Schizosaccharomyces pombe: one gene and its partners. The protein of the gene in region 2 binds, or shares a complex with, the protein of the main gene of each other region. Each region holds a gene or a part of one and is shown on either strand. Other genes may lie near its edges. The genes, in order: mrpl20, mrpl38, mrp20 and mrpl19.

Region 1 (6,396 bases), on a different chromosome or scaffold from region 2:
TGGTCTTCCCTAATCTTCAAGTTTTCTTTTAACTCTTTCGTCCTTTTTTTCTAAAACTCATTTACTACTCTTCTGGTTTTTTATTTTTCCCTAGAAGTCATGTCTTTCTTCTCCGCTGCAAAGCAAAGTCTGGGTAATTCCCTCATTAAGTTAGGAACATCTATGGCTCAAAATTCCCAAGGCCCTGTAGATGACTCTAGCTTGTCTCAATTGGAGAATTTGCTCCCACCTTTGCAAATTTTGACTGCTAGAGCCGCTATGGCTGCTATGAACATGTCGAATGATACATCCATGTCTGGAATGAACATGACCAACAGTACGACACCCATGTCTGGAATGAACATGACCAATAGTACAACATCCATGTCTGGAATGAACATGTCCAACAGCACAACATCCATGTCTGGCATGAATATGACTAATACCACTACAACCGCAAAGGCTTCTTCTTGTAAATTATCCATGTATTGGAACTGGTATACTATCGATGCTTGCTTTATTACCAAACATTGGCATATCACCAGTAAGCATATGTTTGTCGGTAGTATTTTCGGAATTATCTTCATGATGATGGCATTGGAATTGGTCCGTCGCGGACAAAGAGAGTTCGATCGTTGGTGTGTCCGTAGATTTTCTCCCGCTAGCAATTCCTGCTGTCATTCGGGTGCCCCTGTTCATTCTGGTCCAAGCATGGCCCTTCGAATCTTTCTTCATTTTCTTCGGTCCTGCTTTTATCTAGTCCAGTATATTGTCGCGTATATCGCAATGTTACTCGCAATGTATTATAATGGCTATGTAATTTTATTTCTCTTTTGTGGCACCTTCTTTGGCTATTTCCTGTTTGGTGCGGATACCATCTCTACTAAGGCCTCTTCATCTGTTCAAACGAAAACGATCGTTCAAGTCGCCGACGAAAAACACGAACATGATTCCAGTCAATATTCAGACACAACACCTACAACCGAATAGCTTGATTATCTCTAAATTTGGTTTAGTATTCCCAATTTCATGCACCTCACTCATTTTCAGTGCTGAAGCGTCTGATTAATCATAATCGTCTTCGCTTTAATTTCTTTCGCACAGTCACTGATAGTTTGGAAGAGGATTCTTTGATGAATGTTGAAGCCACATATTACATGTCCATGTTGGAAAGACAAAACAAATTCTGGTAATTTGTCTTAAGTTTTTACAAAGTAATAAAAGTTTCAACAAAAATAAATAGATGCCACAAGGTAACGCTTATCTTTGTTAGTTAAACATTCAAATTAGAGTATATAGCAATTTGAACAGATGTAATTCGTTCCTTTTTTTTTTTAACCATGATTGTTTGTTTTCGACTTTGAACCTGGAGGTTAATAAATATTTATTATTATAAAGACTGACATTAACACGATTCAGTACCTTTATGGTATCTTAAGGTGATCACTTTCTATATATTTTTAAATGAGTTTGTAATGACATGGTGCAACAGAACTACATAAGATATTCATCAATCACATTTTTGACGTTCAGAAACCATTTGTCGATATCTCGGAAGATTAATTCCAACAGCAGATCGTATTAACAAGACATCCACAATACCATCCTGCCGCTTTCTCCCAACAATGTTGAGCCACTCATGCTTTTGAATAGATACATCAGGTAAAACTACTGTAACATCACAAGTCACGCTGCTTGATCCATCAATCAACCGTAGAATGCCATTCTTATATGATTGCACGCATCCTAAAAATCGAAGTTTTTGGCCGTCCTTACAATCGTTAATTTGATTAATGAAGATAAGTTTAGCACTATCCATCAGCTGCTAAATATATTGTAAAAAGGAGAACAAGGAAAGATGAGGGAAGGTGGTATAGTTTGTGTTTGGAAACTGGGTAATCGATTGAAATATGAATTTCGTAAATGAGCGACTTAAGATCGCAGCTTTAATTAAGAAAACGTAGTTTGACTTTTTCAAAAGGAAAAATTTGCATTAATCCTTAAAATGTGCAGAAAGACTACACTCTCGTTTGCAATAGTAAAAGCAAAATCTAATAATCGTATAGTACTATCAGTGAGGCATATTAGATTGATAAATAGACCAACATTTCCATTATTATTATTTATGAATTGGTTTACTTGAGCAACTCCACAAAAAACGCAAGCATGGTTCTTTTGATTAGTTTTTATAAATTAAGTCAGATGGAATATAAAAAGAGAAAAATAAATGCTTTGGCCGGGAATCGAACCCGGGTCGAATCGATGGCAACGATTCATTATACCACTAAACCACCAAAGCTTCTTGAAATATCTTGTAAACTTGTATAATATAAGTAGCTATTAACGATAACGATAATTATTTATTATACCATTATAATATTGATTAAAATCAAGCAGAGAATTGGAAACATGTTCTGATGTAGTTGTTTAAGGCCTTATAAGAAATCAATAGTTCTTGTAATAAATTCCGATTTTAGTTATAGGGCCAATGCGGCTAATATTCACTTGATAAATTGAAGCTGACTGTAAACAAAAGGTTACCCCTTACTTAACCATTTGATATTATAATTTACATTGCAAAAAATTTGGGTCAGTTTGAAAAGGTGTGTACATTTCCTAAAAATCTATGGAAAATTGAAAAAAATAAAATAAATTTAATTTAATATTTAAAATATCATGCTTCCAGTATTCAATATAATCGGTATTTAAATTGAACCATGAACAGATTAGAAATGGTTTAAAAAAAAAACAGCAAAACAAAATTGTATTGAATTTATCCTACAATCAAAATGCCGTTAACAATATTTTTTAGCTTGAATCTTCCGATTTCTCTTAATAAACCGTCAAAGTGCCAAAAACCAGTTTTAATATAACGAATTATATAATATACATTTAAGGTGCCATAAACACACTGCATTATACGTATTGAAACTAAGAGTGTGGATACTGTGCATATAGAGACTGCTAAACTCCAGGAAACCCGCATTTGGAGAGTAATTTCGTGTTTTTACTCGGAAAATTGCAAGCCTTAATACGATTCTTGTAAATTCAAAAGTTAGAACTCTTCCAAGTGATTTTTTGCGTGTTTTTTTGCTGTTTATTTTTTTTTTGCATTGAGCTCTTTTGTCACGTCGTTGCTATAGCTTTTAGGCTTTGAGAATCTTCGTTATAACTAATATTATTTGAAGTGTGGGTTTATCCAAAAGGCCCTTTACAGTTTTTTGTGTTATAACCTTTTCTCAAAAAAATTTAAAGCATCATTTCTAAAGCGACACCAAAATTAAAATAGTTGAAAGAGTAAAAACATGTTGTTTACAATCAAACCTTCATTTTTGAAGCCTGTAGGCTTCATTCAGACTCGGAATTTGAACCGGCTATACCCTAAACAACGTATTCCTAAGCGACCTAAAATTCCTATGGGTTCCAAAATAGCAGAGGTAACTGAAACTACATCTGCTTATTACAATCCACCAGCGTCTTCTCCAGATGTTAGGATTACTCCTCCTGTTTTTCGCTATGATGCACCTCCAATTCATCAGCGTGATACCTCACTTTCCAAAGAGTCAATGTTTCTCCCGCCGGCAGTTAGCCGAAAATCGAAAAGCAAAGGAAAGTTGAGGTTTTCTACTCATCAACTGAGTAGTGAAGATATCAAATCCATCCAAGACTTGAGGACGAAAGATCCGAATGCTTGGACAACTGGAACACTGTCTAAAAAGTTTAACACAACTCGGTTACTAATTTCACGAGTTTGTGAAGCTCCCAAAGAAAGGATTCAAAAAGTTGAAGAAAATTTTGAGGCTGAAAAACTTGCCTGGGGATCAAAGAAGCGTGAAATTCGCCGACAACGTGCATCTCGTCAAGCATTCCGTACATTGGAACGAGTAGCACAGGTTTAAAATAATTTAATAGTTTTTGGGATTCTAAAACTCTGGTTTTCAATAAAGCTCTGATGCACATGCGGAAGCGTTTTTGACTGCATTATTTAATGTTTCAATCACGTTACAAAATACTCGAGTGATTTGAAAGTTCCTTGGAAAATAATATTAGTTTTGAAGCTTTTCAAAAAAAACAGACATCTTCATTCTTCTTTATTTCTTAATTTACAAAGGCTCTCTGGCATTTTACGAATTATCCTTTACATTTCTATCAACATTTACGCACATTGGTCTGCATATCGCGAATTTTTGTCGCAACCTTTAAAATGTTATTATACAGGCACGAACTTGTTTTACATTTTTACCTCTCCCTTCTCATGTACATATTTCCTTTTTGGAACAAATGAGGAAATTTTTCATTTCAGCTTAGTAGGCTCGGAAATCCTCAATCATAGAGTATGTTGCTTTTGTAACACTCAAGCCAGTTTTTTTTTTTTTTTGGTTTTATCTTTTAACTATTACTGAGAATATACAATGGTGTACATAATTAATTGGGTCAGCGAGCAGTAAAAAAACATCTTTATTTCCTCTTGTACAGAGAGCCCTTTCGTTCAAACCTCAAGTGGTGAAAATAAAGATATTTTTTCGGCTTTTAAGCAGTTGCTATTTAAGATTTCCAATCGACATCAACCGTTTATAAACACTCACGAGATACTTACTTTTGCAAGTTTCCTCACCAGCCATCATCCATCCATCTCCTTAGGACAATTTGCATTCTACGGATTTCATTAATACATCCATCTCTAGCTACTATTTACTTATATTAAAGCTTTGTTTCGCCGTTTTCTACTTTTTTGAAGCTTGTGTGACTATACGTGCTCTTCTTTGTTGGCCCAATTTTCCAACGATCGTCTAAAGAAACATGCGACCTAGTTGAGGAATTTTGCTTTAAGACATTGTTTTTACAGACTCTAACAAGCTTAATTTGTATGGTGGACACAGCTTTGTTGTAATACTGCATACTGCGATTCTCAAATCCTACACTCCTCTCTCCTCTTCTCTCCTTGTTACTTAGTACCTCGAGAAGTTTTGGGGTGACATCAGTCAGACACAAGAATTATATGATGGGTGGGTGGGTTAATACGTATATGAATGATCTCATTTACGTTGCCGTATTGTGCTACTAAAAGTGTTATATATAGAGCAGTGGGAAGTAGAAGTGAGCACTCTTATTAACGATAAAGTTGTGAGTTGAACAAAAGCGACTTACTACTTTGAAATATTGTTTTACTTTACAATTGAACATTTACTAGTGTTCAGGAAAAATCTAATTTTTTTTCGTGCGCTCGATTGAATATTATATCAATCCTTTGTGTTGTACGGAGAAAACCGCTTTTATATAACCTTTCGATTTATTAATTTTTTTTTACTCGGTTAATTCACGAAATCCTAATCGAGCATCATGAATAGGCGTGTTACTCTTGGAGCCTTGGCCGCTGCTGTTGGTGTTGGTTATTATATGACTCGCCATAATCGTCAGGCATCTTCCAGATTGGAACAGAAGAATGCAGAAATCGTCAGAGCCGTGGAAAATGAGGGTCAACGATTTGACAAAGCTGTTGGCGAAACCACTGAAAAGGCAAAATCTTATCTCCAAAGTGGGAAGGAGAGGGTTGTCGATGAACTCGACAAACCTCGTGAAAACGTAAAAAATGTGTTGTCAGAGGCGCAAGCCAAGGGTACTGAACAAGCAGAAGCCCTTAAAAAGGGTACCTCAAAATGGTTTTAAATTGGAAATCCCCAATTCTCGCCATTTAGGGTTATGTGGCAATACTTTGAAAAAATACACACAGGGTTTGTTGTGTATTTGAAAACGTAAAGTGCCTAGCATTGGCTCGTTCTATACCTGCTATCCATTAAGTGTTCTTGTTAATTGTTCCAAACGTATTGCCAAACATTCCGGATCACATCTCGGCAAAGTCGGAGAGATTAAACGTTGTTAACGTTATTCTTTTTTATGTTATTATTAGTTTCTTCTCTCATAAACCAACTGAACCCAAATGATTAGCGATGACAAACAAACGACGATTCCATGGGTTGTCAAAAACACCCTCATAGAAGTTTGCTTTTTTTTGTACAGATAAAAGCGAATTTTTAATTGAAATAATGTTTTTCATGAACGCATAAATGAATGATTGAAATTTTTACATGCATGATTTTCCATTATAGACTGTAAAATGATATTTAAAGTAAGCGATGTGGACTAAGAGTAGTGATAATGCATATGAATACATGCATAGTTTGGATATTATAGGTTTTTCCTAGTTTCCATTATTAAAAAAATAAAAGATTGAAAGGAGTGTTTTGCTTTAATCTGCTCTAGTAGACAGAGTCAAAATTGATATATTTAATAATATTCAAGATGAAGAGATAGAACTCATCAAGTTCGCTTAGATATAACCTTAGCTTACGCGAAAGATGAGAATACTGTAATGCATAGTTTTTTGTTAATTTGAGACAACGAGAGGTATGGAAAATG
Region 2 (4,519 bases):
TCTTGCTCGTTTAAACGCTCAATTTGACGAATGGAGCTACTTTTGTTAATTTTAAAATTAAAAAACGAAAACAGCGAAAAGATGAATCGGATTTTTGCTATATTTTAGCCTCAATAGAAAACTTACTTCATAACAACCTAAGGTATTTTAAATGGTAATTAAACTTTGTAACAGATTGATTTCCAAATTTTTCTTTTAAAATAAAAAAAAAGATTGACAAAAATTAACAGTTGGAGGGCAAAATGGAGAAAAACAAGTTAGCGGCGGGTTTATGGCGTAGGCTTGAATTCCGGGCTTTGTAAAAAAGAAGATAAAACACGAGAATGGGTTTGAATAAGAGGATGTCCAGCAACTCTACATAATAATGTATTAGTTTTTGTGCAATTTAAAACGCTCTTTGGGGCAATAAGGCAAAATTAACATTCAATACTTACAGTCGTAAAAAATTTTCCAAACCTTGTCTACGTTCTTCGATAACATCATCTCTAAATCTTTGAGTGAATATCTTTCCTGGAAGTGGTGGAATTGAAACACGACCGGACTCTCTTTCAAGCATATCGTGAAATTTCTCGAATTCGCTGTAACGTCGACGAACGCTAGAATTATGTAGACGAAAATAGGGCATATTGGTCTACAAAAATGAGTTAATAATCTGCTATCAGAAGATGAATTTCAGTGGTACCTACCCGACAAACAATTTCATAAGTAGTAAACATGTTTCTTCCAATACCGTGAGTTTGTGGATTTATAACCTAAAATAACATCTATTAGAAATATTTCGAAATAATAAAGTAAACATACATCAATTTCAAGGATGTTTTCAGGAACATCATACATTTGTTGAGTAGTTTGCTGCCTGATTTCCGGTCTACTTAATTTATCCATTTATTTACCCTTATTACTCTTAAGAGCGATATCCAATATTATTTTACTGTTTAACAAGTAATAGTTGAAATTTTGAAGAAGTTTAAAAGTTTCGATACAAGGTGTAGTGTCTAGCTCAGATACGGGTACGGCTAATGAGATTCATAATCGGATCGCAAATTAGTAAGGCGTTTACTGTAAACATATCGCAGAGCATTTTTTCAAACTGCGTCGTCTAAAGATGAGAATGATAGTTCATTTGCTTCCAAAAAATAAAATGGATTCACTAACGTCCAAATCCTCCTCTCACTTTCAACAAAATTAACGAGTAATACAAAATCAAATATGTAGCATACAATCCATTATGATATTTTAATATGATAAGAGCAATTGCTAGTCAATATCACATTTTTGCTTTAATGACTATTCCACAACTCCATGCATGATGAAGAATTTGATTAAAACATGTGTAACAAGCAAAACATCAGAAGGTTAAAGCAAGATAACAGGTTATGACAAACAATTTGCTTGGAATAATTTCATATTTGAATGCATCTAATCAAATCGCTTTTTTTTTAATACAAACAGTTGTTTTTATTTATATATTTTGCGATGTGTTACATACTACGATATGCCAACTAACGTCAAATACCAAATTCTAATATTACGCATAGTGTAATTTATAGTGGAAGCGAGTACGTGAATGTATGGTCAAGTACTTGAATCTTTAGCAATGATCGGACTTAAAGGTATACTCAAAGTTATCGACAATTCCGTAAGTTTAAAATATTACTATTTGTACTAATAAGATGGAAAAGGGTGCTACCTTAGCTGAGTGCATTCGTGTAGTTCGCGCGGGAAAATTCGCTTCACTTGGTAAGTAGCACGAAGTGATCTTTTGTTTATATTCGACTAACATCACCTTTTTTTAAAAAACAGGTGATGAAGTGGTAGTAGTGGTAAAAAAGGCACGAAGCGGTTCATCAGTTACTGCTGCTAATAAAGTTAAACGCGGTGATATCCACCATGCTATCATTGTTCGGACGAAATCACCAGTTCGAAGACCCGATGGTCGTTATGTTCGTTTTGATGATAATGCCTGCGTCTTGGTTAATAAGGAGTGTGAGCCTCTGGGAACCCGTATCTTGTCAGTCGTTGCCAACGAGCTCAGAACAAAACATCATACTAAAATAGCATCTCTTGCTCCACGAACCATCTGAAAAGGGTATTGTAATGTTAATATTTCACTTAATTAAAATATATTTTTTAATTTTCTATTCTACGTCTAATTAAGGGACCTTGTCTCTTCAGCAAACACTTTTTACCTGATAGCCAATTAAGATTTTGCTTTTTTGGAGTTTTGTTACTCGTAAGCATTGTGGGGTTAAAAGGTTTTTACTACACACTTTTTTAGTAAAATACAGCTGTAGCAGGCTTTATTATATAGTCCATTATCTGTTAAATATATCTGATCGATCAAAAGAATTTAATGTTCTAGTAAGAATGGATTTGCTGGCGATTGATTTGGATTTTGATGTTAGTGAGTCAAAGCTTGAACGGAATAAGCGATTAAAACAGAAAGTAAGCATTGAAACTGATGGATGGACTCCAAGAGTTCAATGTTTTGGTGTATGTTACTCATTTTTTACTCCCAATTTATTGTCTATGATTTTAACAGATTATTCAGCATCTTAGTAAAAATGGCGTCGTCCTCGGTGAAGAAGCCTATATTTTAGAGCAATCAAAATTTGCAGCGGAAGAACAATATTATCTGGGAAACTATTCCTTAGCTAAAAAGTTTGCATTTCAAGCACTTGATGTTCCAACTGATAGTTCCAGCATTGAGTACCACAGACTGAGTTCAGGCGAAATCAATGAAATTGAAGACATCATCAGAAGATGCGAAATGAAACTTGAAAATAAGCAAAGCAATTAATTAGAAAAAATTTTTGTCTTGTCAAAGAGTACCTACCCAAAACTACACACTCTGTCTAATTTTTGTACATGATTTTCATGTGGAAACAGATTAATCACTACTTGTACCATCATCCTTTACAATTTGTCCTTGGTTTTGTTATTTGAATAAGAAATAAATTAATCAAATTCAATCGTGCATCATTTTTTGTATCATTAAATTTATAGTCTTTGTAGGCTTTTGAGTTATCGAGTTACCAATTATTCCTCATCAATCTTCATTAAAAAATTCTTTAGCGCTGTAAACCTTCCACGTTCCCATCCGCGTCAGTAAAGTAATCGATTTTATTAGTACTATAGGCTGACGCCGGAATTGCAGCTGGTGACATGATTAGAGGAGATGTAATAGATTGAGCAGCCGAACCCAGAGCCGCTGACAACGGTGTTGCAGGTACGCGGGCTATTGGGGACATCAAAGGAACAGGAGTGGCTAAAGATGACTCAGTGTAATGTCGAGCAGAGGAAGAAAGTAAGATAGTAAGATCTTTTGTAGATCTTGTTGCAGCTGAAAGACCAGCTAATACGCTTTTTTGGAATGTATATTCACTGGATAACGCTTTCGCTAAATTTGCGACTGCAATAATAGACTTGACAAATGCTTGAGTGTCGTCCAAAAAAAGCTGCCATTCCAATTCTTCCGGATTCGTTTGAAAAGTTAGAAGGCGATGCTTAAGTTTTCTAGTAACATCACAGGCGGCGGCGGATAATGATCCCAATTCACGTAACTTACTAATCAAATTGGGTGCGATGTTTTCATTTACTAGATCAGGCTGGTTATTTTTAGGAACAGCATCAATTAGTAATGTCAAAACTGACATTGCACTGTTTGTTGCTAAAGCGACCTGATCTTGTATTTGTTTATCAATTTCAGGATTCATCACTGATGCTGGTTTTTCAACGCTAACGATTCTGTTCGTAAGCCCAGATGCAGTCCGGATCATACTTGTCGGAGATTGACGTACCTGATCGGCGAATATGTTATTACCACTATGGGGTTGTGATGGACTCAATGGTACCAAGGCGTTTTGTAACTCCTTTGCAGCATCGAAAAGAATTAGCAGTAAAAGCCGAACATATCGGACATCCGCACGACTAGTGAGCTCATTTAAAAATTTTTTTGTCACTTCAATTAGTTTACGAAACGAGCTGATACAAGACAATGAAGCGTTTACTATGGAATTAATGTTTGCAGTTCCATCATTGCTTTGTTGGGTATCCTCAAAGCACAGAATTAGCCGCTTAATTTGAACATTGGCAGTATGTAACACATGACGCATAGAATCTAAAACAACGGGGTTGCTGCAAAAAAGAAGTTGCTGACGAAGGGCTTGTTGGACTTGCGAAAGCGAAAACAATATGCCCCTAGACGACTCTAAAGTTTTTTCAAAGGCCGAGTGCTTCATTTCAACCTCACTCCCTCCAATGTTACTGAAGTAGCTGTTGACCGAGTCATTTGTCAAATTGGAGCCATTTTCATGCGTTTCTTCTTTTTTCAAACGAGGGGAAGGATGAGGATCTTGAGCAAAAATTCGATTTGGTAATTGCTCAGAAAGTTTGCGCGCTTCTTTAAGGGCTTCAAGACGATGTAAAACACTCGATGGAAGTCTAGTAGAAGAGTAATCATCATTTGTACTATTGCTTCTATTACGCTCTTTCTTGGCAACCTCAGGTAAACTTATGG
Region 3 (5,281 bases), on a different chromosome or scaffold from region 2:
GTTTGTGATAGTTATCACGGAACTTATCAGCTGGTTTTGGAGTCTGTAACTTATTATGTTTATATCGCTTATTTTCCCGTATAGGAGAATCGTTGGCACCGAATGCTTTAGATGCTTTCCATTCATCAAAACGACCACTACGATATGTTGCAGGCAATTTCACGCCGCTTTCGCCACGAATTATCTTGGGAGACCCTTTGGACCCGTCTTCGTCGTTAATTATATTAACAAATTTCTTTTTCTTTGGATCCCAACGTTGTCCCCCCTTCCTTGATTGTTCAATTCCTTCGTCATTTGTTAAATCGAGAATAGCATGACGAGCTGCGGTAGTAAAATTTTCACCAGAATTTATAGCATAGCCAGTTTCTTGAATAGATTCCTTTGGAGCGTAATGAGACATATAATACTCTTTATCTTTAAAATCAGTTGTCTTCTTTTTTGATAACTCCTTAGGATTTTTAAATACCTCTTCAAGCTCTGACTCTGAAGCTTCTGACATATTACCAGGAGAACTGTCAGTGATTTTATCAGATGCAACTTCAGATTTTATTCCTTTTGGTTTTACTTTGTTTCTTCTTTTCCGCATGATTTCTGCAGCTTCTGTCTTTAAGTGACCACGCTGACCGATTTCAAATACTGTTTCTGATGGCCGATAAGAAGAAACTTTTGAAAGCAATTCAGCATATTTCTCCTCGGCCTCAATTACCGATACATCTCCAAATAATGGATTGTTGGAACTCCAGCCCTTGCTATCAACCAATTCCTTAGCTCTTTTAGCACTCTCAGCACTACAAGTAGCTCTTGTGCGAAAATATAGTTTCTCACCCCTTGCAGCAACGTTGGAAAGTTGCTGTAGCTCAACGTCTCTCGAAACTATTCTTTGTACCCATTCTAGTAGCTCAGCAACAAGTTCTTGGGGTAATGATCCCAAAACAATCTGTTTTGTAAAATCACAATCCGAGTCAGTTTTAACCTGCTTCGAGGATGTAACTAAAGGTCGGTTTAAAAATAGTTGTAAGTCTAATAAATAACCAGCATCTTCTGCTCTAACCAATGAATACGCCCAGCCAGTGCGTCCTGCTCGAGCTGTACGTCCTACACGGTGAACAAAAACTTTTGGTTGAGGAGGGAAATCATAATTAATAACATTAGCAAGTAATGGGATGTCAATACCACGAGAAGCTACGTCTGTAACGACTAGTAAATTTGTTTTTCCAAGTCGAAAATTATTAATTTCATTGAGACGCGCTTCTTGGTCCAAAGACCCGTAAATTTTTGAAACCGAATATCCTGCTTGAACAAGTAACTCAGAAACATACTCGACATGATGTTTTGTAGGAACAAATACTAGAGTAGAATCTGGTGATCCAGATTCACTTCCTTTAAGCGCTAATTCTAATGCACGTTTTCTTTTCTTCGGATTATTGACATTTCCTATTTCTCTTGGGCGCACGTTATCTTTTAGAGGAAGCTTAATGATATCTTGTAGTATACATAAGAGAGCAGCTTCGCGTTCAGCGGTTTTAACAGAAAAAAAGGCACTTTGTAGATCCGCGGAAACCTTGGATTCTACATCAAGGCGTACAAGAACCGGGTCTTGAAGTCCAGCCTTTGCAAAATCAACAAGAGTACGTGGAAGTGTGGCAGAGAAGAGAAGAGTTTGACGAGAAGTCGGCAAAGCATGTAAAATCTCTGTCAATTGAGCAGCAAAACCCATTTCAAAAAGTCTATCGGCCTCATCGAAAACGACATACTCGATTGAACTCAACTCCAATTTCATTTCCACCTTTAAATGTAGAAATCTTCCAGGAGTTGCGACCACAATATCGGGTTTTCCGGATAGCAAACTAAATTGCTCCTCTAGACTGACGCCACCGACGATAGCGACAGATCGAAGATCCGTACCTTTAGAAAAGTCTTTGACGACTTTCACAGTCTGAAGAGCAAGTTCTCGATTTGGCGAGAGAATTAAGGCGCGAGTATTAGAGTTTGCTAGAGTGGACTTCAAATGCTCAATCATAGGTATAACAAAAGCTGCAGTTTTACCTGATCCAGTACGTGCCATACCTACAACATCACGACCTTCCAATAAAAGGGGAATCGTTTTGCGCTGAATCGGCGTAGGAGCTTTAAAACCCTTCTTAAATATTGCTCGAAGTAAAGTTTGATTCAATCCTATAATTAAGTTAGAAAAATATCAAAGTAATTTAGATTACAGTGTCTTGAAGCATAATGCAAAGTGACCTTATGGCAAGTAATCACGAAGTTAACATACCCATCGATTGGAAATTAGAAGCCTTTCCATTCCCCTTTTTTCCCTTCGTCCTCCTGTTAGACTCCAAAAGCTTCGAGGCAATATAATTACCATCATCTTCATCGCTCACATTTTCACCAACATTTTCGTGCTTATCTTTTTGATTATCAGTAGCAATATCAACAGGAAAAGCTTTTAAAGAATTTGATATATCGACCTCGTCGGACGTCTGGAATCCGGACATTTAAGACGAGTGAGCTGCACTTTTGTTGATTTTTTAGTTCTCTAGTGTCGCTGGCAAGAAAATTTACCGTATGAATAACAACTATCAAAAGGGCCTTCTTAAGTTTGATTTAACATTCTCATTTCAATTGTTCTGCTGCGTTTCTTTATATTAAAAATAAGTAATCCAACGTATTTTAATAAACTATAACGAACTTGAAATAAGCTGCTTTATATGTCAGCAATACTACACTACGCTACGATATACTACGTTGTGTATCACTATATGTCACATGTTCATAATGTTCTATTTGCTCTATCAGCTTTACATGATAAGTTATCTAGAAGGATATAATATCATTTATGATAAGATGACTATCAGTTATAATCCTTGTTATTTCAAATGTTATAAATTGAGAACAACTGAATTTGATTCCTCAGTTCAGTTATAAGATATCTCAGCTATAGATAACGATATATCCTATATATTAGAATACCTATATCCAATTCCTACTTATACTACTTGCGTATTACAATATAATAGATCACAAGGAAAACTCACCGCAGTTCTACGTATCCTTAAATCAGATACCAAATTGCGTAGCTTACATATATTACGTTCTAGGATAATACAACCAGAGACGTTATTTGTTAATAGTATACAACTGAGCTTTGATGCAATAAAGCAACCGGATTCTCAGCACGTTAGTACTAAACAACATTTGAACTCCGTAATCCAACAAATGGTTAATAACTAATCGTTTACCTAAGGCCGTTGACATCAAATTCATCTTGAAATCTACTGTTGAGAAAAACCATTTGTTTCTCTTTTTTTGCATAACTAGCACAAGTTGCTTTAGCCTTGAAGTTGAAACTCAATAGTAAATATGAGTAAAATTGCTGGGAAAAGATTAGTGTACTTTCCAAATATAACGTTCACGTTATGCAGAGGACTAAATCTTCAACCTAAATTTGCAGTATTTCGCGTACCTCTTCATGTTAACAAGTTTGATGTTCGCGATTATTTGCAACATGTGTACAATTTAAAAGTCGTATCAGTTAAGTCAAGAATTTATCAGGGCAAACTTTTTAGAAATCAACTAGGACAGGTTAAGAGACCACAATCTGAAAAACGCGTCATCGTTGAGATGGAAGAACCTTTCGTTTACCCAAATGCCCCAAATGATTTGAAAGATTGGCAGGAGGGTGAATTACTTCCTGATGGTTCTAATGTGAAAACCCTGAGCAGGTATCCAAAGGTCCTTGAACAAGTTGACATGAAACGGGTGAACGAAGAGTTAAGTAAGTTACAAGATAAGCAGATACTCGAATCACAACAGAAAATCGCTAGACTTTTAAAGAAAAAGTATTAGTATTTTTTTCATTTCCCAGGTAATGTTTTATTTTGGTTTCCGTCTATTCATTAATGCCTACAAAAGCATAATTATAGCCTCAAATGCCTCATCGAAGCGGTATGGTGTTTAATTGCATTCATTATAACCTCTCTTCTTTCATCTATTAAACTTTCAACGCCACTTGTTTCATTTTGAAATGTTCTAAAACTATTTTGGAAATTCTTTTCATGTCGGAAAAGCACGGTCGTCAATTAATAAAATAATAATTTTGTATCACAATACTTCTTAAATGCGTATCTCGCAAGTTCCAGCCCTAGTTGAGTACCTTACCCATTTAATACTTTTGTATTTGCTATTAGAAGGTTCACTGACCCTTAAGTATTGCACATGTAGACCGGAGCTGGTAAACATAAGAATATTGAAATCTAAGGATATTGGAGGCTTCGCCCATATTTGCTGGTTAGTTGTATTAGATAACTCTACCTCAGCGTAAAAAATAAGTTCAGTTTCGCCTAAAAACCGGGGAATTTTCCAATTGATAATATTTTCAGAGGGCTCGTACCCTGCCTTTCCTCGATTTACACGAGGATTAGCTTTTACCACATTTGTGGGAACCGGTATCCGAAAGTTCAAAGAAGAAGAAAGTTTGTGTGGATAGTCTGCTCGTATACTGATACGATAAATAATTTTTTGTTTCGACAACTGTTCGACAATAGGAACAATTCTAAAAGGAATATTTATGTTTTCATGTGAACGATAACTCATTAATTCAACCTCACCATCCGGCGGAATGAAAGTAATTCTGTGTTCATTTTCAAATTCCGGCAATCTAACACATTGATGAAACTGGCAATCTTCTAAAATGACAAATCCTCCGTTAACTGAGGACGGATTTCTAGAGTTATTTGATTTAGACTTGCTTTCTGATTGTTTTAATTTAAAATCAAGCTTATCATTTAGCCCAAACTGACATTCAGGCATTCCAGAAAGCATTGCACGCATTTTCACGACACCAGAAACATCTGAGCGTAGCACATTTCCAGTAGAGCTAATAAGTAAATTCATTCTTTCAACAATATCAATGTAGATACTATTTTTTCTATACTTAATGCCAGCTCTACGCCATGGTACAGACCCTGGTATTTCAGAGGAAGTGGTGTGTGCCAACTGAGAGGAATGAGACCTTTTCAAGGACAGTGCATTGCCTTTCTTTTTGACAGCTGTTATGCTGACAGATCTTGCAAGTGCGTCAGGTTCAGTAGTCTGAATGATACCATAGTCTATCATTTCATCCAGCAACTCGAAAATAAAGGAGACATTGTCTTTGACTGTATTTTCATTCAGTTTCCCAAAATAATGTGTCAAATCTTGAATTAGACTCTCCAAAAATTCCAAAACAATCATAACATTTGGATTTCCTTTGGTAATGGCAACCACGTAAAGATCCTCG
Region 4 (4,843 bases), on a different chromosome or scaffold from region 2:
TAAGTTGAACATAGTGGACTTGAAATTTTAAGATATCTTCCACCTGATGCTTAAAGTTAACAATGAAAAATTTCTATCCATGAATGTTTTTACTCAATCAAGTGACTACCAATGTTTTAGAGTTAAAAATATCTGGTGAGCTTGATAGTAACTGATCATGATCTGGCCATTGCTTACAAATGCTTCAAAGAGGCCGTTCGGTTCAACTATTGAGGCTTTAACTATTCTTTTAATTGTTGCGTCTATTAGTTAGTTTCAACCCTCATTTTTTTGGTATACTATAACAAGTAGCTCGAGAAAATTATTGAAAGAGCACAATGTATTGTTTGCGGATATTTAAAAAGGAAATGAAAGTAAAGTACTTTGGTTGGTGTTTTCTCTTGTACATTATATATTCCCAAAACACCGATTCAAATCAATCGGAACAAATTTATATGGCACAAAAAATTGCAATTTAGTGCAATAGCTCATCGAGTAATAGATCGATGACATAGCTGAACTTTCATAATTATTTTACAGTTCTTCGGGGAAAGGGTAAAATTTAGTCATTTCATCTGAATAAGTTTTCAATTTCATGCCTCATAAGTATTTGCACAAGTATGTCAGTAAACATTAGCGGGTCAAATACCAATTTTTTGCATATAGCATACGCTAAAAAATCGATGAAATCTTTATTGTTTAAAAGTATTGGTTTACTCGTTAAACGCTTCAATTTAGCAAATATGTACATATCTTCGGCATAGTTAGCAAGTAACAAAACCATTTATAAGTTGTGGTAGATTGTTAACTAAGTGGATTCGCTTGTGATAACTTAGATTAATCGAATATGATATCTCGGCTTGTATAATTTTAATATCACCTATGCAATAAATCAGCTTTGCAAATATCACGCCGTCTTATACATAAGAACGTTCACCAGGAATCCAAACTAGTCGTACGCTAAAAATAAATTTTTACGGGTATTGGAGATCTTTTGTTTACTATAGTGCGTTAGTTTGTTCACTGCTTCTGGATAATATATATAATTTTCAATGACTTAAAGACGATGCAATACCAAGTATTACCATTATAAAGAAGAAATTAATATTAAATTTAATCCTTATTAACAGTGTGTCACTATTTGAATACTGTCCTTAGCTCCTCCATCTTTCGTTGTAAACGCATTCGAAAAGGCTTCTTTACAACTTAGACAAACAGTAGATAGAATCAGACCATGCGTTAGTATCATTAGTAATTGTAATGGTCCAAAGCATATAATAAAGAGAGATGGCACTTATTTGATTGCTTTCAAAACAAGTTCTATTTAACAAGTTACTTATATATAACGGAAAGCCAAAAATAAACCGTTTACTAGTAAAGAAACCTTTCTGAATGCTCCTATTATTAAAACGCTTTTAGGCTTGAGTGACATATTCATAGTGAAATTTACGCTCAAATATCTTCATTGAAAGTTTATTCTACTGAATATGCTTAAGTGTAAGTATTTGGTCCTTTAAATTGAAGATAATTATATATGAGCCACATAAATATTATTCTCATGTTAGAAAAAAAAATTCTTGCTTTATTTATTTGAGTATTTCCATATGCTAAAACACTCTGTATCATAAAGTCGTCTTCAGCATTCTCACTTCAAAAACTTGTATCCTTTTCAATACTCCATAATTAATAATAAAATAAAGGAACAAAATAACAATAAAATCGTTCATTATTCATTCTTTATCGCTTGAATTTCCTTCCCATGTAGGCTCCCCTTTTAACCTCTTTACACGTTTATTTTCGTACTCCTCGTTCTGTAGATTCAACTGATCTAATAAGATCCTCTATAACAGGTGGTTAATAAAAAAGGAACTGGTGAATGTAAATTCACGAAAAGCAAATGCACTTTGCAGCTGGTTGCCAAAACTTAAATATTGTAAAACAAGATCAGCACTTTACTTACATAATATTCTTCATTAACGTCGACCTTTCTTCTTCTTTTAATAATGTCTAACTCTGCATCCCGGGACAAGGATTTAACTTGTTCATCTCGTCTGTTAAATTTGACTTGGGAAATGGGGATCAAGCATGACCAGACTAATAATACTGAGCTCAAAAACGGCAATCCAACGTAAATAAACGGACTTTTCTTGGCTTGAAGCCTATACCAACTTTTAAATCGATAGAAAAGCATTTTAATTTATTAACATCCTTACATTCGCTGAAAACGATGGATTGTTAAGAATGTGTAGTAAATAGCAAGTTGGTTAAGATGATTATGGCAAACTTCACTCAGCATGTTAGGATGGAAATTAATAAGATAGTCGTTGGTTTGTAATAATTAATTTTAAGAGTAGAGTTTTAATAGAAATCTGCACTTTGAAATCTTTTTATTTCTACTAATTATTCAAGCTGCATCGCGTGACAGCATTCCTACATAGCCCAAGCACTTCAGGTGAAAACCCTTTATAGTTTTAATTACAATACACATTAGGAAAAAGAAACATATCGATGGCATGTGCTAGTGACAGACTGTGACTTCCAGTAAACATGTGTTTTACTTTGTTTACCATAAAATGGTATGTAAAATGTTTATTGAAAGTAATAAAATAGCTGAGAAAAGACCATTTAATTTCAGCTTGTGATTCAAATGAAATAATCATGCTTTTTAGTTAGGATATTTGCCAATCCCTAAAAACTTAATATATTAATTGATAGTAAGGAGTTAACTTTGAAAAGCTATGTAGCTAAATTTTGGTTTGCTTCTTTTAAACGGCTTCAATTCAGCGCTATTGTTGTTCAACAAATGAAAAATTTTGCGACATTTTAACTAATCCGTATTTGAGATTCAAAAATCAACTAAAATTTTTCAAAAAAATCCTAAAACGAACAACGTTTATGAAAACGTCTTTTCCATTTATCTGAGTTGCCTATTTAATGTCAATACTTTTACTTCTATTCAATCAAGCAGAAGAGAAGGACACATTTGGTCTATTCGGGAATTTTTCTGACTGCTATTAAAAGCTTTAATATTACAAATAAGTAAACACATTACAATTAATTCACCCAAATATTTCAAATTAGTTATTATTCTAATTACAATTATTTTTAAGGAAGAACATGTTACTTTATTGCATGAGAGACATACAACTTACAACTGTATTTTCTTCTTTAACCTTATGGCTTCTACTAGAACGACAATCATAAAATTAATTGTACCGGCAGGAAAAGCTACGCCTACGCCTCCAATTGGACCTGCCCTTGGTGCTCGCGGGTTGAAGAGCATAGACTTTTGTAAAGAATTTAATGCGCGGACGGCAGGTTGGATGCCAAATACCCCAGTGCCTTGTAAAATTACTGTCACACCTCAAAGAACATTTACTTTCACTATACATACTCCTCCAACCAGTTGGTTAATCTCTAAAACCCTCGACCTTGAAAAAGGTTCAAGTTCCCCATTACATGATATAAAGGGACAATTAAGCTTGAAGCATATATATGAAATTGCCAAATTGAAAAGTACTGATCCAAGCTTACAAGGAATAGAGCTTCTTTCTCTTTGTAAAAGTGTCATTGGAACAGCTAAAAGCATGGGCGTCAAAGTCGTACCTTAATCTTATGAGACGCCAGAGCATTTTGTAACTGGTCATACTTGAGGTTATTTTTTTTTCTATCTTGTTATAAACTATTCCCCTCTTTTTTCTTGAATAAAAGCAGTTAATGATATGACTTTTTACTATTACCGACTAAAACGTTGTCCCTGTTTTCTTATTTTCTCCTTTTCTTAGTTGTTTTATATTATTCCTTCGTTAAACAAGCAAAGTAAAAAAACACGTTTGCCATATAAAATTAAAGAATTGCATACCGTTAGTTTACAAACACATCTTAGACTAAATGATTACCTTTAGCATTAAACTATCAATATAGATAACGAAACAGATATGCTAAGCAGAAAAGAAAATGAAGATTTTCAAGTGTGAGTTTTATGTTTACTCTAAGTCACGCCTTATGAAATGCAGCTCAATAAAAGAGAGCCTCAAACTCTGTCTATCTATCAAAAAATAAGAAAAAAAAAACCAAGATTAGTACTGCAGAAACGCTCGAAAATAAAAGAAATGGCTTATGCTATAGGGAGGCATAATTGATGCTTGGCTTGAATAACAGCATCACGATCACCAGTATTTTTCATGATATCGTCACTAATCTTCACTGCTTTAGTTCCTTCAGCGGAAAAAAGCTTAATAACAATATTCATAGGTTTGCTCACTTCACTGGGATTGGAAACTTTTTGGAAGTCGCTGGTAAGATTTGTGCCGATGCCAAATGCAGACTTAATGCCACATTTCTCGCAGTATTTGTACAGTTCGATACATCTGTCAACATTTAAAGCATCGCTATGAACAATTACTTTTGTGGAAGGATCGACACCTATTGATTTATAGTGCTTTACGACTTTTTCAATGTATTCCTCAGCACAACCGCTATCTTGACGAACACCATGGAAAACATTGGCTAAATCGTCGGCAGAATTGGCTGTAAAAGATTTGAGAAACACATCAGTAGAGAATGTATCCGTTAAGGCTATTAAAAGACTAGTACCAAAAGTTTGGACCCACTTTAAGGAAGCAATACGATTTGCTTGTTTATAATTTTGAGTAATAGCTGCAATGCCCATATACCACTCGTGAGCAACCGTACCAGAGACATTTAGATTATATTTGGCGGCGAAGTAAACATTAGATGTACCAAGGAAACTTCCAGGGCCCTTAAAATCCTCTTGTGCTTTCATGAGACCTTGGAGAACAATTTCCTGGGTGTGAGGATCACGACGACGACGAGTGCCAAAGTCAGTAAAGGCACATCCGGC

The links.
Region 1: mrpl38 (region 2) and mrpl20 share a complex: the UniProt entries of both Schizosaccharomyces pombe proteins name them as parts of the mitochondrial large ribosomal subunit.
Region 3: mrpl38 (region 2) and mrp20 share a complex: the UniProt entries of both Schizosaccharomyces pombe proteins name them as parts of the mitochondrial large ribosomal subunit.
Region 4: mrpl38 (region 2) and mrpl19 share a complex: the UniProt entries of both Schizosaccharomyces pombe proteins name them as parts of the mitochondrial large ribosomal subunit.

What each region holds. Positions count from the first base shown.
Region 1 is NC_003421.2:818,360-824,755, forward strand, and holds mrpl20 (mitochondrial 54S ribosomal protein mL58), read left to right. Parts: upstream 1-2,935; 5' UTR 2,936-3,284; coding exon 3,285-3,878; 3' UTR 3,879-5,118; downstream 5,119-6,396. Other genes in the region: Cu(2+) transporter complex subunit Ctr4, read left to right, coding at 100-969; telomere cap complex subunit Ten1, read right to left, coding at 1,490-1,798; SPOM_SPCC1393.12 (uncharacterized protein), read left to right, coding at 5,320-5,646. UniProt on the Schizosaccharomyces pombe protein: Component of the mitochondrial ribosome (mitoribosome), a dedicated translation machinery responsible for the synthesis of mitochondrial genome-encoded proteins, including at least some of the essential transmembrane subunits of the mitochondrial respiratory chain.
Region 2 is NC_003423.3:3,549,751-3,554,269, forward strand, and holds mrpl38 (putative mitochondrial ribosomal protein subunit L38), read left to right. Parts: upstream 1-1,593; 5' UTR 1,594-1,597; coding exon 1,598-1,639; intron 1,640-1,682; coding exon 1,683-1,740; intron 1,741-1,803; coding exon 1,804-2,084; 3' UTR 2,085-2,141; downstream 2,142-4,519. Other genes in the region: RNA-binding protein Cwf29, read right to left, coding at 1-36, 127-131; sorting nexin Snx3, read right to left, coding at 270-354, 435-631, 687-752, 802-885; SPOM_SPBC887.08 (uncharacterized protein), read left to right, coding at 2,368-2,493, 2,552-2,800; leucine-rich repeat protein Sog2, read right to left, coding at 3,072-4,519. UniProt on the Schizosaccharomyces pombe protein: Component of the mitochondrial ribosome (mitoribosome), a dedicated translation machinery responsible for the synthesis of mitochondrial genome-encoded proteins, including at least some of the essential transmembrane subunits of the mitochondrial respiratory chain.
Region 3 is NC_003424.3:399,697-404,977, forward strand, and holds mrp20 (mitochondrial 54S ribosomal protein uL23m), read left to right. Parts: upstream 1-3,189; 5' UTR 3,190-3,363; coding exon 3,364-3,849; 3' UTR 3,850-4,116; downstream 4,117-5,281. Other genes in the region: ATP-dependent RNA helicase Dbp10, read right to left, coding at 1-2,175, 2,276-2,498; AP-2 adaptor complex subunit Apm4, read right to left, coding at 4,117-5,281. UniProt on the Schizosaccharomyces pombe protein: Component of the mitochondrial ribosome (mitoribosome), a dedicated translation machinery responsible for the synthesis of mitochondrial genome-encoded proteins, including at least some of the essential transmembrane subunits of the mitochondrial respiratory chain.
Region 4 is NC_003424.3:3,204,847-3,209,689, reverse strand, and holds mrpl19 (mitochondrial 54S ribosomal protein uL11m), read left to right. Parts: upstream 1-3,149; 5' UTR 3,150-3,155; coding exon 3,156-3,590; 3' UTR 3,591-3,728; downstream 3,729-4,843. Other genes in the region: cytochrome c oxidase assembly protein Cox16, read right to left, coding at 1,710-1,820, 1,940-2,170; npt1 (nicotinate phosphoribosyltransferase), read right to left, coding at 4,097-4,843. UniProt on the Schizosaccharomyces pombe protein: Component of the mitochondrial ribosome (mitoribosome), a dedicated translation machinery responsible for the synthesis of mitochondrial genome-encoded proteins, including at least some of the essential transmembrane subunits of the mitochondrial respiratory chain.